2 linked regions of the Stegostoma tigrinum genome follow. The protein of the gene in region 1 purifies or fractionates together with the protein of each later gene. This does not show direct contact. Links are inferred from orthologs where the notes say so. Each region holds a gene or a part of one and is shown on either strand. Other genes may lie near its edges. The genes, in order: irf2b and irf2bpl.

Region 1 (8,268 bases):
AGGAGCACAAAAGCTGACGTTTCGGGCCTAGACCCTTCATCAGAGAGCATTCTGCTTCCTGTCTGCTAACCAGTTCTCAATCCATGCCATGACATTTCCATCAATTCCATGTACATTAATTTTGCACAATAACCTCTAATGTAGAACAAATCAAAAGATCTCTGAAAATCCAAACATACATCTAGCTGTTTTTCCTCATTGATTCTACTCATTAGATCCTTAAAAAACTTTAATAAGTCTGTCAAACATGATTTCCCTTTCATAAATCCATGCAGACTTCATGCAATCCTACTATTTTCTAAGTGTCTGTTATCACATCCTCACATATTTATAATAGTCTCCAACATTTATATAGATGCTGCTGCACCTGCTGTGTTCATCCAGTCCCACTCTTTGTTATCTTGGATTCTCCAGCATCTGCAGTTCCTATTATCTCCTATTACTGTTGTCAGGTTAACTGGCCTGTAATTCTTGGTTTGTCCCTTTCTCCTTTTGTAAAATAGTGAGGTTACATTTTCCACCCTTTAATCTGCCAGAACTGTTCCAGAATCCTCAGAAGTTTGGAAGATAACAACCAATGCATCCACTATTTTAATACCACCTCCTTTAGTACGCTGGAATGTAGATTATCAAGCCCTGGGAATTTATCAGCTTTCAGGCCCATTAATTTCTCCATCAATTTTTAAAATAATAATTCCTTGGATTTATCTTTCCCAATAGAGTCTATTTTCCCTAGTACATCTATGAAATTATTTGTCTTTTTCTGCAAAGACAGAACTAATAGTGTTGCTGAATTGCTCTGCCATTTCTTCATTCTCCACTATCAGTGCTCCAGTTTCAGACTGTAAGAGGCCACCATTTTTCTACCTTTGTTTTTTTAACATACTGAATTGGAAATAAGTATTGGCTTTGCCAGTGATGCTCACTTCCGGTGAATGAACAAATAAAACAATCTAATTAATACCCAGCCAATGACTTACTGACAGTTAAACGCCCTCTAGCTTGCAGTTACTTAAATTTAAATCAACAATTAAATGCAGATCAGTGAAAAGCACAATTTCGGCAGCTCTTGCCCACAGATCATGCTTTATTTGCAACATTTCAAAGGTAAATGATTTGCGACATCCCAGATTTTATTGAAACCCACACTCTGAACTCCTACAGAAGTCCATTCTTAATACCTAGTCTTATCTCAATCCTTTATCATTCATGAAAAAGGACTTCAGCTGCTCCACATTCCTAAGTGGTCAGCCATTTTGTAATTAATTTTAAACATAAATAAATTTATAAGAACTGAAAGTCTGTATTTACACCAGCTTTGTTCAACTCCAGAAATGATTAAATCTTTATAAAACATTGGTGAGACTACATCATGTATTGGGAACTTCACTTACACAGGGAGAGACTGGAATCTGTCCTTAAAACAGAAGAGGTTAGCAGGAGCACTGGGAAGGGTTTTGAGAACTATAGAGAATCTCTTCCTAGTGGAAGAGAGTTCCTGACCAGACGGCACAGTTTGAGGATGATTCACAAAAATAACAGAGGCCAGATGAGGAAGCATTGTTTTAAACAGAAACTTGTGGCAATTTGGAATGCAGTGTGTGAAAGAATGGAGAGTCTTCTTAGAGGTTTATTGCACAGAACAAAGGCCCATCAAATCTGCGATGGTCAAAAACCTTCAGAGGTTTAATAGAAACTTTCAAAAGAAAATTAAATAAGTCAGGAGGAAAGAAAAAAAACAAAGCTAAAGGATAACAGCAACCATTAATAATTGGCTAGTTCTATCAAAGAGCTGGCACAGATGTGGTGGGTTGAATGGCCTCTCTTTGCCATGGATCATTTTCTGATTCTGTGGCAGTACATTTATCTGTTAAGCCTTTGAGGACTTCTGAAAATATAGTGCTAACGTGGCTGTAACATATGCATCTGTGAACAAATGCCAGTGCAGTGCATCATTGAGAATGGGGTTGGGGAAAGAAGTAACATAGAGGTTAGTACTTCTGGAAGTATCATAAGGGTTTTGACATAGTGCCAATTAACAGACTTGTGAGGAAAGTATAGATCATGGAGAAAACACAACAGTCTCAATGTGAATACAAAATTGACTGGGTGACAGGAAACCGAGTCATGATTAATGGGTATTTTTCAGGCTGGAAAAAGATTTGTAGTGGAATTTCCCAGGGGTCAAGTCATTTGTTTTTCCTTATGTATTTGAATGATCCAGATCTTGGTATGCGAGGGACAAGTTCTAAGCTTGTGAATGATGCAAAACTTGGGAAAATAGTAAACTGTGAGCACAGTATAGAACTTCAAGTTGATAGAATGGGCAGATAGGTGATAAATAAAGTACAAATTAGAGAAATGTGAAGTGATTGACTTGATCCAAACAAGATGGAAAGACAAAACAAAATATGGTACTGTTCTAAAACGTGGGCAGGTGCATGGAGATCTCAGTATATATGTAAATAGTTAATTAAATGTGATAGGACAGGTTGAGAGAGCTGTTAATAACGTATACAGTATACTAGGTATCATTAACAGAAGCATAGAATATAAGTGCAGGGAAGTTATTTTGAACTAATGTAGGACTCTTATCTAGGCTACTAGTGAGTGGGCCTAGTGCAGACTTGAGATAGCCCAGTGTGGACTCACAGCATCAGAGTTGCAGAATGTTTGGGTTCCTGGTGCCTTCTGCATTGTTGAGGCTGTCCTAGCACTGACTCATGGCTGCAGTGGAGGAGATGAATTTGTATTTTTGTCAGTGTCTGTGGCCAGGGCAGGCAGCGGTGGTGCATTTGTACCCAGTATAAGAGCCTGCGGCATTGGCGGGGTAGGCCTGAAGAGGAGTCATAGTGGCTGTAGAGTCAAGTTTGGGCCAATGTAGCACCCAGTGACATCTGCATTGGTGAGGTCCAACGAGGACTGATAATGGTGAGGGTGTCAATGGATGGCAAGATGGCACTGGAGTGGTGACTTTCGCTCCAGTGGCACGGTGAAGGGGCTCTTGCCTGGCCACCAGGCCCATGACCTATCGTGGAGCACTTAACAAGATGGACTGTAAAGCTGAACACTTTTTCTTTATTTGTCTGCCATATTATTCGAGGTTTTGGTTTATTTTTTCCACTATGCAACACTTTTCACTGTATTTCGTAACAAGTAAAATCTGATTAAATCAAAGTTAGATGTCAGCTGGAACATGGCATACAGTTCTGAGTGTCACACTATAGGAAGTTTGTGAATGTTTTGGGAACAGTGCGGAAAAGGCCATTGAGGATGGTTCCAGAGCTGAGAAACTTCAGTTATAAGGAAAAATTGGAGATGTTGGGGATGTTCTCCTCAGAGAACAGAAAGGTAAGAGGAGATTTATTAAATGTTTTCAAAATATTGAGGGTCTGGAATGTACTTCCTGATAGCAGTGTTCCCTCTAACATTTTTATCAGCTGCACAGGCCCCTGAGGCCCTTGTGTGGCACTGACTTCAGCAATCAGAAGTCAATGTTGCAATTGGCATGTTAACATTGAAAACCATGGACCATCAGTAAGGAGACACACAGGCACAGCTTAGAGGGAATGTAGCCTGGAAAGTGGGTGGAGGGAGGTTCAATAAAGGCATTCCAGAGGGCATTGGTAATTAATTAACTTGAAACAATGTCCTGAGTTATGGGAAAAGACAGTTAATTGGCAATGACTGCTGGAAAATGGGGCTGGAAGCGTTAAGACGTTGCTTTTGACATGCACATACGTGATGGTCCAAAGGGTCTTCTTTTGGCGCAGTAGATCTGTGACTGAGTAAATTTAAAATATAAAGACAGCGCAGACAAGATGCACCAAATGGTCTCCTTCTGCACTGTAACAATTCTGTGAAGCCATGTACACATTGTGCAGGTAACAATCATGTTGGCAAGGTAGCACATGATTTGGATGAATTTACAGGGATAAAGAAGGGATAGGGAATCGAACTTGCTGCGTAGCTTTACAGGAACCACAGAAACCATTGGTCAAATGGTCCCCTACTGTACTGTAAAACTCTATGATTCTAAGCCGTAGCGTATCCATCTGGCATTCTCGATGATTCTGAAATGCAGAGTACTTTGCTATCCTATCCGAAAAAAAGCAGCAGCGACAAGAAATGGAGAATAAAATCAGCTGAGCTGATTTTTGTGCCGCATGGAAAAGCATAGACATGGTTGCAACGCAGGCCCATTTGTTGAGGTGTCGCAATCTATTCTCACGGTTAATGGTTAAAAGCAGCCAGAGGGAAATTACAACCCATGGTGGGCGAGTTACTGCTTCTGCATCAGAAGATGTGAGAGTTACAAAGTAGGCCGTATAACTTTGTAACAAGTCACAGTTAAACTTTCTGGAGTACACGGAATTAACACAGCTATAACAGGGTTAGCTACCAAATAACACGAGGGGATAACAACTCAGTATGTAACAGTTTCTCCTTGTTTCTCTCACTGTAAAACCATTTTCCATCAATATTAATTTTTGCACCTTTCCAAATTTAATAACCAGATCCATTAATTATAACAAAACTAAAAATGTGTTTGCTCTAACAGTTCCACACATCAGTATCTTGTGAGTATGTGAAATGAAACTTTAACGGGCGGTAAATAATTAGACATTTCTTACAGTAACAGGCTCTCAACGAAAGAAAGCAGAGTATTTTTGTAGCCAAACAATACATGAATTATTTTGTTTAATCGTTGAAATTTATATCACGGGGTGGGGGAATCGCGTGTGTGCACAAACATGGGGATAAATATAGCTTCTCAGGCTCGACCTGTGAAGGTCAGGGCAGCACCGGGGGTGGGGGCTTTCTGTCCGCTCGCTGTGCCCGAGAGACTGGAGAGAGACCGACCCTTCCACCCCACAGGGATCTCCGACCAGCAGATCTCCGGACATCCCCTCTCCAACCGCACCCCCACCCCCAAATAACGTCCGACGACTTCCGGACACCAGACCAACAACACCGCCCCCCCCCCCCCGATCCCATAACCCAGGGATCTTCGGCCACCGATCCCTCACCACCCTCCCCCCACTCAACCATCTTCGGCCACCGCACTGCCAACCCAGCCACCCCCGCCCCGGCGGAGCTCCGGCCGCCAGATCCCCCCCGGTGGGTGCCCCGACACACTTCACTCTCCGAGCTGACGGTCTGGGGATGTGAAAACTGAAAATGAATTTCTGAGGAATCGATGCAGCCCGTCAGACCAATGGAAGTTTGCGGAGGACTTCCGCAGTCGGTGGAGTGAGGCCCGCCCAGGCGATGTTGTAAATTCTTAAGGCACAAACACGAAAACAAATCGGGGGGGGGGGGATGGAATTTCCAGCCTTCCGCCGCCTTCTTTTACTTTCGATCTAATTCTGCAACTGGCAGGACGGGGGGCTTGGGTTTTGTCTCTTTGGTCGTATCTGTACGTGTTCCACCACCCCCCCCCTCACTTTCTTGACGTGACCGTCCCGCTGTCAGCCACTTTGAAAACACCAGGGATCATTTATCTTTGGAAGTGGGGATTTGGAGGTAACAAACAGGTTTTGTCAAAATATTTGAAATGCATAGAGCAGGAAGTCGATAATTTTGTATTGCAACATTTTTAGGTGCATGAGAAATGTCAGCATTTTGTGACTAAAAAGAAAGAAACATAAAGCGTCGAACCGCGCTGCAAAAGGAAAACTAAAAGTGTTTCCAACATTTTCAGCGCCGAGCTTTCTCTTTTTTAAGGCAGTTTTAGTTTCGTTTTTACCATAAACACCTCTGCAAATGTTGGTAATTTAGTTAATCCCGGACTTGGATTTTTGCCGACACATGCAATTTGATTTGCTCAGTTTGTTTCTTTAACAAAATGCTACTGATTGTTGAATTTTTTTGCGGAGGGGTTGGTTCAAGTGCAGTCGACCTTTGGGTCAACAAGTGCACTGTTTGACAAAAATAAGTCTGGTTCCGTCTTGCCGATTGTTGGAAAACTTGGATCCTTTTCAGTCTCTGTGTTAAAATATGGAGGAACCAGCAGTTTGGGTTTGCTCGTTTTGGATTAAGGAAGATATCATCAGGTCTAGGTTGCTAAATTAATGGGAAGACATTATAAACTGAAATGTGTTAAACTCTTGACAGTTCGATTTGGGAAATTCAGATAATCCTGCAGTGGCGTCAACGCGTATTTATAGGACAACATTGCCAGTTCAACCGACATTAAATGTAGAAACTCGGATTGCAATTGTCATGACTTGTAACTTTTTATTTTAAAAAAGGTTTGGGGCTGCTGTAATGAGGGCCCGTGTTGGTTTTTTTTGGAAGCTTTTGTTAGTTTTAATCCTTTTTTTAGTAAACTCACTTCCGCCTTCCGATCTCCGGGCGCGTCAAAGGCGGGCTGATATTTTAATTGACATCTCCGTGGACGAATGGCAAGGAAAGGAATGTGATTGATAGAGGGAGCGGACAATGAGATGGCGTCGAGCCACTGACTGACGGAGATTGCAGCCAATGTACATGTCTCCTTCCCCATGTTAAACTGTCAACCCGAGGTGAACAGATGAGGTTGCGTTATATAATTGGAGAATTACAGTGTTTAAAAAAACACACACACAAGTTGGGAAATATGTCAGCGTGAAAGAAGAAAACATGTTTTTACTTGAAGCATGTAGGGGACTAGGATTCATAGGATTCAGTATCAGAGTTAGACCTGAGTAAAGTGTACAATTCGAGTCTCCATGTTTAAAAAGATGATAATACAAGCAGTGGAGAAGGTGTGTTGTAAGTTTACCAGAAACTGTGGGGGGTATGGCTATCAGAAAAGGCTTGAATGGTTTCGTTAGGAAAGAGAGGCGTGAGATGGGGCCAATTTAAAAGAGGCCTTTAAAATTACAAACGGGTTCGGAAAAGTGTGACTGGATATCTGTAGGGTGTCGTGGCGGAGTCCAGGATAGGCAGGAGCAAAAGCTCCTCAGGAGGAAACTCCTCAAAGACTGAGTTAGATTTAGATAGTTGGACCGTGGAAAGTGCGACCACATGGAATGGCCGAGCCGAATAATAGCGCACACATTTTAGGCAAAGTTAAGTAACGACATGAGATTGAAATAAAAAGAAGGATTCGGTGATTGTGTGAAATTAAAAATAAAGTGGGAGGAAGCTTGTGTGAAGTACGAACTCTGTTGAGGAGCTCCTAGGCCGAATAGCCTGTTCCTGTTTAATTATATGTGTTTAATATGGTCACAAAATAATTTAATTTAAGGTTAGAGATTTAAATTTAAAACCAAAACTTAAATCTTGTACAGAATGGTGATTTTTGTTTAATATAGTTTTAAGACCCAGTACATCAGTGTTTCAAAAAATAGATTAGCAAATAATTGCAGTAAAATGATTGTCAAAGTTATGGAGAGGGAACGTGTGGATAAAACCACCAGTTCAAATTTAATATGTGAAAAGGCTGTGATGCAACATTAGGTATTTAATCCAGCAAATATGGGTCTCAGTCACGAGTTACAGAGCCACTGAAAGCCTGACACCACATCCTTTGGGGAAGGTCTGCTATATGTATTGATTGGTGGGTCTGTCCAGGATTGAGCAACTCAAGTAGTGCAACTCTCAGCACCCACACAGAAGCCCCAAACTACTACCTTTAAACTTTCACTCACTCCACATTTGATGCACAGCGATAGCAGTGGCTACAATCTATAAAAGGCACTGTACTAACTAAGGCTCCTTCGGCAACTGCTTCTGAACTGTGGAGGGGCATGGATAGGGTGAATATCTAAGGTCTTTTTCCCATGGCAGCGGAGTCCAAACCTGGAGGGCATAGTTTTAAGGTGAGAGGAGAAAGATTTAAAAGGGACCTTAGGGGCAACACTTTCATGCAGAGGTTGGTGTCTGTATAGAATGAGCTGCCATAGAAAGTGGTGGAGGTGGTTACAATTACAACACTTGAGAGGCATCTGGATGGGTTCACGAACAGGAAGATTTAGAGGGATATAGGCCAACTGCTGGAAAATGGGTCTAGATCAGTTTAGTGATAGTGGGAACTGCAGATGCTGTAGAATCCAAGATAACAAAGTGTGGAGCTGGATGAACACAGCAGGCCAAGCAGCATCTCGGGAGCACAAAAGCTGACGTTTCGGGCCTAGACCCTCAAAACGTCAGCTTTTGTGCTCCTGAGATGCTGCTTGGTCTGCTGTGTTCATCCAGCTCCACATTTTGTTATCCTAGATCAGTTTAGGATATCTGGGCAGTGCGGACAAGTTGGATTGAAGGGTCTGCTTCTGTGCTGTG
Region 2 (7,712 bases), on another chromosome or scaffold:
TTACAAAAACACACCAGCAGCGTTAATTGCTAAGTGCTATGCTCTGTACCTAGCCAACACACTGCCATAAGTGAAAACAGTATTAAGCAATAATATCTGATATTCTTTAAACAAAACCAGGTTCATCCTTCAAATGAAGAAGAGTACATACCTTGTTTCAAAATATAGAAACATACGATGGAAATGAAAAATGTCTATACATAAGACTAACTTTCTTTTAGTTCTTATTCACATTTTACTTCAATTACTGAAGTTAAGAAATTATGGGTCTCTTTCTTTTTTGACCTTAACGTCCCCAGCTAAGATTGTAGCAATCTCTCCTTGCATGAATGCCCAAGGGACATTCGAACCTACTAAAGGGCATTTTTCTCCACTGGGGCAATAAACTTCTCCATTTGCCCCCTGCGCCTTAATGCTTTCCCGAGAACATGGGAAACAGAATTTATGATTGGGCACTGATGGGCATTGCACAAAGTGAGTATCCTCCAAACGTTCATGACAAATGGTGCAGCACAGGGGCCCGTTGTTGGCCATTGGTGAGTCTGGAATGTTTGGGGGATGAACGGGGTCAATGCTGGGGTTGGGATGGTTGTTAGGTGGTGCAACGGACAGTGCAGCATCCCCGTTCCTGGACACCATGCGGCGCTGGCCACCACCCGAGGCAGGGGACACGGGGCTGTTGCTATTCCTCCGAGTGCTGGTACTCGTGGTTGAATGTACCGAATTGCTGCTGTCCTTTGGAGAGTGGGCATTTCCAAGGGTGTCGGCCACGGACATGAGGGCAGCCATGGGCGACTGTCCATTTTGGGCGCTGCATTCGGGAGGGGTGGTCCGGTTGGGTGGCAGAGCGGAACCCCCATGAGCCACACCACTTGAGCCAAAACTGCCTGATGCCGCCATAGTAAGCTTTAAGGCTTCATTTTGGTTGGACAGCCACTGCTGCTGCCGCTCTTCCAGCTTTACACTGCCTGTTTCCGAATCGGGTTCAGGAGACGCTTTGCGTTTGCGCATCCCAGTTCTCGAGCTGTTGGGCGGGGGCCGGGGTATATTACACAGGGCGGTGGGTAAAATGGGGCAATTGGCGTCTATATGGGGCTGCGGCAGCATATCGGCCCCCACCACCTCCTTAAAGAAACGCACCGACTCAGGCAGCAGGTCACCCAGCAAGCGCCAGTCTCCCGAGCCATGTTTCTTCTCATACTCTAAGTACTTGAAACCGGACGATAGGCCTCTGCTGAAATCCTTCATGCAGTCCTGGTACATCTGCTTGGCAACTCCCGAGGCGCTGGAGAAGACATTGGCCGAACCGCTCGGGTACTCAATAAAGATCTTCAGCTCGAAGTCCATGCCGGGCTTGGAGACGGCGTCGAAGGCGAATACCCGGCCCAAAAGAGAGTGATCCTTCTTAAAGCGCACATCGAAGGGATTGCAGTTGGATAGGGTGAGCAGCGTCTCCCGCACGATCTTGGGCTTGTTGACCCAGTCCTCAGAGCGGTTTCTCAAGCTCTCGCCCAGCTCAGCCAGAGTCTCGGCATTTCTCTGTTTCTCTTTGAGTTCCCTCTCTTGGTCACTGCTGGACACTGAGCCTGGCCGTTTGTTCACATCACTCAGGACTTGACTACTGACCGTCACCGATGTCCCGGCCAAGCTGCTGGAAGGAGACGGCCTGCTTAGCAGCCCGTGTGGACCCAGAGCTCCTGCGGACGGACCGTTTAAAGTGGTCTGCGGCAGCAAGTTGGGCGGCACTGTGACGGGGCCCGGGGGCACGATGTTATGATTTCTTCGTGATGAATTGGGACTCTGGCGGTTGAGTTCCGGCGGAATGTCCTCAGGTTTGGGGAATCCGTTGGGTCCACTCAGGCCATTGGGAAGCCTGCCAGCATGGGCGAGGCTCGGGTACTCGAATCGGGGTCTCTCGCTCAAAGAATAGCGATCGACAGGCGGCTGGGGCCCTTTGGACGAGCCGTCGACGTGGTTGAGCTGTTGAGCCGCCTCTTTGCTGCCACCCAAGGACTGCACTTTGACAGGAGGCGGCCCTGGCGAGCGGCCCTCCTGGAAACCGTGAGCCCGCTTCAGTTGGCGCGCCGTCTCGATGACAAACTCGATGCGATCGGCCCCTTCGTAGTTGACGCAGCCGCGACAGACGGGCTCAGTAAAATCCCAGATCATGGCCCACGGCATGCGAGGCAGATCGCAGAGATAACACGACTGTCTCCGGGACGAAGACACCTGTGCAGCGGACATGATGCGGAAGATGTTCAGATTTGATTGTTTTCTGGGTCTCTCCGCGGTGGCCCTTTCGTACGGTATTATGGCCAGGCCTAGGCTCCCTCGCTTTCTTTGCCTTTCTCCTGCTCTTCTGTCTGCTTTCTCCTCTCCTCCCGGCCCCGCCACTCAGCTTCTCCGAGCACCACGTGACGTCAGCCGCCGCTCTGCAGCCAATACGCAAGCGCAGCCTCACTCCCCACCCCCACCGTCTAAAGCATGTGGCTTGTCTCGGCTGACTACCCTTTATCAAAGTTTCAAAACTATACTTTATTCCTTAAAAAAAAACTTTATATGCATACGTAGTCACTAAAGCAGTTTGGTTCTTCGTATACTACTGTACAGAACCAAACACTGCGGATTTGACTCTATCCAGCAAACACACCAAAAGCATTTCTGAGGAATGTACAGTCCAGTCTCTCAGCCCCTGTCCCTGAGAGTAGCCGGATCATCGTGCACATGATTTACTCCAAAACACCTAGCAATTTCAGACAGATTACGGTTGTAACGGAATAGAAACTGGTTCCTGGCCCAAAAAATGTTTTAACTGTCCATTGTAACAATTCAGTTACCAGAATACACTGCGGGAATGTCTATTAGGATAGGTCCGTGATAATTCGAAATATTAACCACGGAAGTTATGCTCAAAAGCAAAATTAGTTACCAGTACAGCTGGTATATAAATGTAAAGTTCTAAATTTAAACTACAAAATTCCAACACACCAGTTACAGCTGAATAGAAATTAAATAACATTTACTTGACTAAACAATTAGCTTTTGAGTACTTCACCCAGTCGAACAGATCGAGAAACAAATTATGATAACAGGAATTCCTTTAACCGTCTTAAAAGTTCAACACTTGACAATAGAAAGTAATTACTTATTTAAGTATGCACTTTATACAGTATATTAAATCAGTCTAGGTTTTCCCCCGCCCCCCCCAGCTGCAGCTCTAGTCCCGCCCCATGACGTCAGGGCTTGTTCTAGTTCAGTTCCCTTCAGAATGTCGCAACTCCCTAGCGTTTTGCACCGAGTCACTCAATGAGCAGACATTTCATTCTCTGCTGCTAATTCTGGACTGAAGCAGCTCGATTGTTTTGTAGGCTCCCATTTTATTGGTAGGAATCTGCTCAATACCAAGTGCATGTACTTTTAAGGCTGACGCTATACTAATGCAAAGGGTCCGTTTTTAATACGACAATCTTAGCAATTTGAAGCATGATGGGAAAATTGTAAAATCGAGTCATCATAACGTCAGAAAAGTATAAAATAATTTCATAGGTTAGAACACCAGCTAAATATCTAGCAAATTATGCAACTTCCACCCACATATAACCAGCCTAATGCTAGTTTCCTGTTGTGCAATTTTGTGCGTGTAAACTTCAATCGAAAACGAAAAGCTCCCTCCCAATGAACGCTTCTATTTACTTTTCATGAAAGTAGTTACCCAATGGTGCGAGCCCCGAGGTGAGGGAGTTGCTGCTTGTTTTTCCAGTACAGTACGGTTTAATTATTAACATGGATGTGGGCCATCAACTTCGAAAGCTACGTCAGCACTATAAAATAAATAACTACTTGGTTACTGTTTAATTTAACTCGAACTTGTAATGGTTGTAGGTAATCTAAAAGAGAGCAGAAAAAAAAGTCAATTGGAAAAAATATTTTAAAACATATCTAAATTGTCCTTTAACGTAATGCATTTCCGTGAACACTGAAACGGATCCACATTTGCCCAACACATATCAGTTACTGAACTATAAGTTCATTTAACTTATTCATTTAAAATAATTCCGAAAGGAAAAATAATTTTGTCTTGCATTCTAAAGTCGAACTTAAATCTCACACTACACCCTTCCCCCACCTTGTATAAAAAGAAATGATCCGTGGCACACTCAGATCCCATTCCTGGGGGGAACTCAATGTTTTAATCAGGGTAAACACAACTTCACAAGAGTTTTTTTTAATGTAAGCAAGTGTCACCAGAAGCTGACAAAACGGAAATGTGTTTAAATATCAAAACTGCAGTATTTAAGCATCTTAGTAGTACAACTGGAATTCGGAACTTGAAAAGGATTGTTAAACAGTTTTTATTTCAAAAAAAGCTTCAAAACGTGCGACTACCTTACAGCTTTATATAATTTATTAACCCCTTTAAAAATAATGAGGTGAACGGTTTATTCCTCTGTTCCCGACCATGAAACAACATCAAGAAAAAATGGAAAATGCATTTCAAAGGATCTTGGCTCAACAGACTATTAAGCATTTTATCGACGCATGGTATCGTGCCCACCGATTTTAAAAAAACGCACTGCAAGTCACGACGCAGAATTGAAAAAATAAAACAGAATTATGACATTGAAGTCATTGTTCCATCTGAGCTTTTAGTGTGAGATAGTTAATGTAAATTTACTTAAGAACATTCTAACTCCCTCTCCGCTCACACCACGAGGGCAGAGGGCATCCACTGTTATTTTGTCTGAAATAACGATACCTTAGGCCTCGTTTAAATCGCATGGACTTATTTTTAGAAGTAGTTATTATTTTGAGACGCCCACTCTCAATTCCCCAAGATTGATCAAGCTCTGAATGCTAGTAAGGCTATAACGCTAGGTTATTTTTTCGTATCGCCCTTGCTATGCCACCTTGTTCAACACAGAATACTACGCGAAAGGGAATATGCGAGACCACGAAAAATACAACTGCGCAATCCAATTTTAGTAAACATTGGAAATGCCAAAAATAGTTATTAGTATTTTTTCTTTGCTATACTTTCTGTTCCAAAATAACATTCGCTTCTTTCAAGAGATTCAATAAGAATGTTCCTTTAAGAGCCCTAAATTATTGCTGTCTTCTGTTCTACTGTTTATTTGCACTGAAAATCGATGCTTCATTTAGGGATTAAAGAAATTCATCAGTCTTCATTTCCTATCAAGTGTTACAGATGATCATACTAACTGCTATGGGGAATGAGGGGAATGTCCAAGCCCTGGAAAAATAAATGCACACATGTCCGCCTATGTTAACCCCAACGAATTTTAACAGTTGTTTGTAGCTATAATAGGATTTTTAAAAATCATACAGTCAACAGGATTTTGGCAGACAGATTGAAAATCCCCTTCACAGCTGTAAATAATTAAACTCACAGATCAAAATAAAACATGTATAGTTCATCTCAAATTGGAAAGCTTGATGTAAGGATACCATGAAACACAAACATTTTGCTTCTGTTCCTTAATGTAAATACAAAAACGATTGGTGAATTTTAAAAACTTTCCTTTTTACTTTCAATAGGACACAAGGTGCAGGCACAATGTACATTAGGAGACTGTTTTACCTTGAGCAACAGTTTTCATATTCTTAATAATCGGTAATGGATATGTCCTCATTATGCAAAGAGCAAGGTCCTAATTTAAAGTAAACTTAAATAATCTGAACCTGTTTCTTAATCTGTAGCCAAAAATAGATTTATTCCAAAATTGGCAAATGATATGGTACTCAGCTGTGAATGTGAAACTATTTCCCTACTGTGTTCATCATGGCATATCTTTATTTAGTGAAACAGTTATCATACTTAACCAGTGAAAACGACCATTTTAGTTAAAGAACCAACAGTTTTTTTTAGTAGATTTACGATAGATTAACTTCTATTAAAGTTAAAAATTCTGCCTGGACTAAACTGGCATTACAGTATCTTTTACTTTAGGTTTTTAAGACAATTTGCATGTTAATTCTCAATTTTTAGAAGTGATTTTCATGAAGGTGTTCATCTCCACTTGGAGCTAGTGCTACTGATAATCAGCCATTATGATCCAAGCTGATGTTGATCCTAGACAAGTCAGATCCCAAAAAGAAATCTGGGCTTGATACATCAGATGTTTACATTTGCAGGCAGTTACTGTGGTAATTAGCCACTAACACAAATTCACACAAGACTGCAGATATCCTTTAACAATTAAACATTCGCGAATTACACAAAATCTAGAGGGCATAGGTTAAAGGTAAGAGGGGAAAGATTTAAAAGGAAGCAACTTTTTCACACAGAGGGTGGTGAGTGTATGAAATGAGCTGCCAGAGGAGGTGGTGAAGGGGGGTACAATTATACCATTTAAAAGTGAAATGGATGGTTATATAAATATAAAACATTTAAAGGGATATGGGTCAAATGCTGGCAAATGGGACTAGGTCAGATTGGGATGTCTAGTCAAATGGAGGAGTTGCACTGAAGGGTTTGTTTTACGTGCTGTATGAGTCGAAGCAATTTTTTGATGAATTTGTACTTCATTACTGCCAAGCATCTCTGTAGCACAATTTTCTTTTTTACATGTATATTCGACTTGTATTACTGTTTTAGATTTCTTTTTTACTTTGCCTTTCTTTAACATTTCTATCTTGATCCTATCTTGCCTACCCACTCTATTTTTCTTTATGTTTGTGATTTTAATTATAGCTTCAGTCCAACTATCACACCTGACTTTGCTGATATACACTTGTACCCCATCACCTCCAATTGAAATTTCTGATTCTCATATTTAAATTTTATGTCCTCATCATTTCCTACCAATATCACATCCTGCAGTTCTACAATTCTCTAATCTGCCTAGAAAAACAAATGTTTAAATCAAACGACCTCAAAGCAACTGCTCAGCAAATAACTAATTGATATAGAATTTGTAGTGTCATGAGACCACGAGGATTGCTGGTGGGCAAGGGAAAATAGATACTGCTTCAGTGAAGTTGATTTACCCGGTTGAGGTAGAATGAGGGGAGTGCTACTCTTTTATCTGGCTTGTGAAATTTCTATCATGGGAAATGTTTAAAGTTGACACTGAGCAAAGTAAATGGGTTTTCAAGTACAGGCAGAAATATTAAAACAAAAGTTGACTGGACCTTTAAAGTATTGTAGATTTCAAGAAAAGAACTGACATACCGTGGAAGTAATGATTTTTTTTCCTAAGTAGGAGACTTTGGTATTTCATTTCCCAAATTGAGAAATGAAATGCATCCTCACCATGTTTTTATTTGATTATGCAAAAATAATGCCTGAAACTGTAATGAAAGGTATATAATATGTAGGTTTTAAATAGATGCCGATGGTTGTGGGTTAGTTCTGTGAAGATTTTTGATTAAAAACAGGTCAGAATGTTATGTTAAACAGTGACTTGGTGCATCATCATCAAGAAAGCATGTGACTGTATTTAGGTGCCTGGGAAAACTTCCCCTCAGTGTTGATAGATAGAATGTTTATATATTACTGAGTTAACAATAAACCAAATGCCAGAAGATTCAAAGTATCAGTTCAGAAGAATTAGGAGTTCAATTTATAAGGGAGATCAGTTTTTCCTAGGATGAGAATAAAGAATTTAGTTCAGATGGACCAGTCATCATTGCAAAGGGTTTTAGTTTGTGGAACATCTAAGACAAGAGAGTTTCAGGTTGTTAGAACTGAA

The links.
Region 2: the proteins of irf2b (region 1) and irf2bpl purify together in Homo sapiens (affinity purification with mass spectrometry; 3 studies listed by BioGRID and IntAct, counting the BioPlex papers as one, with this or other methods). This does not show direct contact. The link is inferred for Stegostoma tigrinum from reciprocal best matches to the Homo sapiens genes IRF2 and IRF2BPL.

Annotation. Positions count from the first base shown.
Region 1 is NC_081356.1:113,847,448-113,855,715, forward strand, and holds the start of irf2b (interferon regulatory factor 2), read left to right. Parts: upstream 1-5,012; 5' UTR 5,013-5,526; intron 5,527-8,268. UniProt on the Homo sapiens protein: Specifically binds to the upstream regulatory region of type I IFN and IFN-inducible MHC class I genes (the interferon consensus sequence (ICS)) and represses those genes. Also acts as an activator for several genes including H4 and IL7.
Region 2 is NC_081363.1:50,435,970-50,443,681, reverse strand, and holds the start of irf2bpl (probable E3 ubiquitin-protein ligase IRF2BPL), read right to left. Parts: upstream 3,168-7,712; 5' UTR 2,245-3,167; coding exon 262-2,244; 3' UTR 1-261. UniProt on the Homo sapiens protein: Probable E3 ubiquitin protein ligase involved in the proteasome-mediated ubiquitin-dependent degradation of target proteins. Through the degradation of CTNNB1, functions downstream of FOXF2 to negatively regulate the Wnt signaling pathway.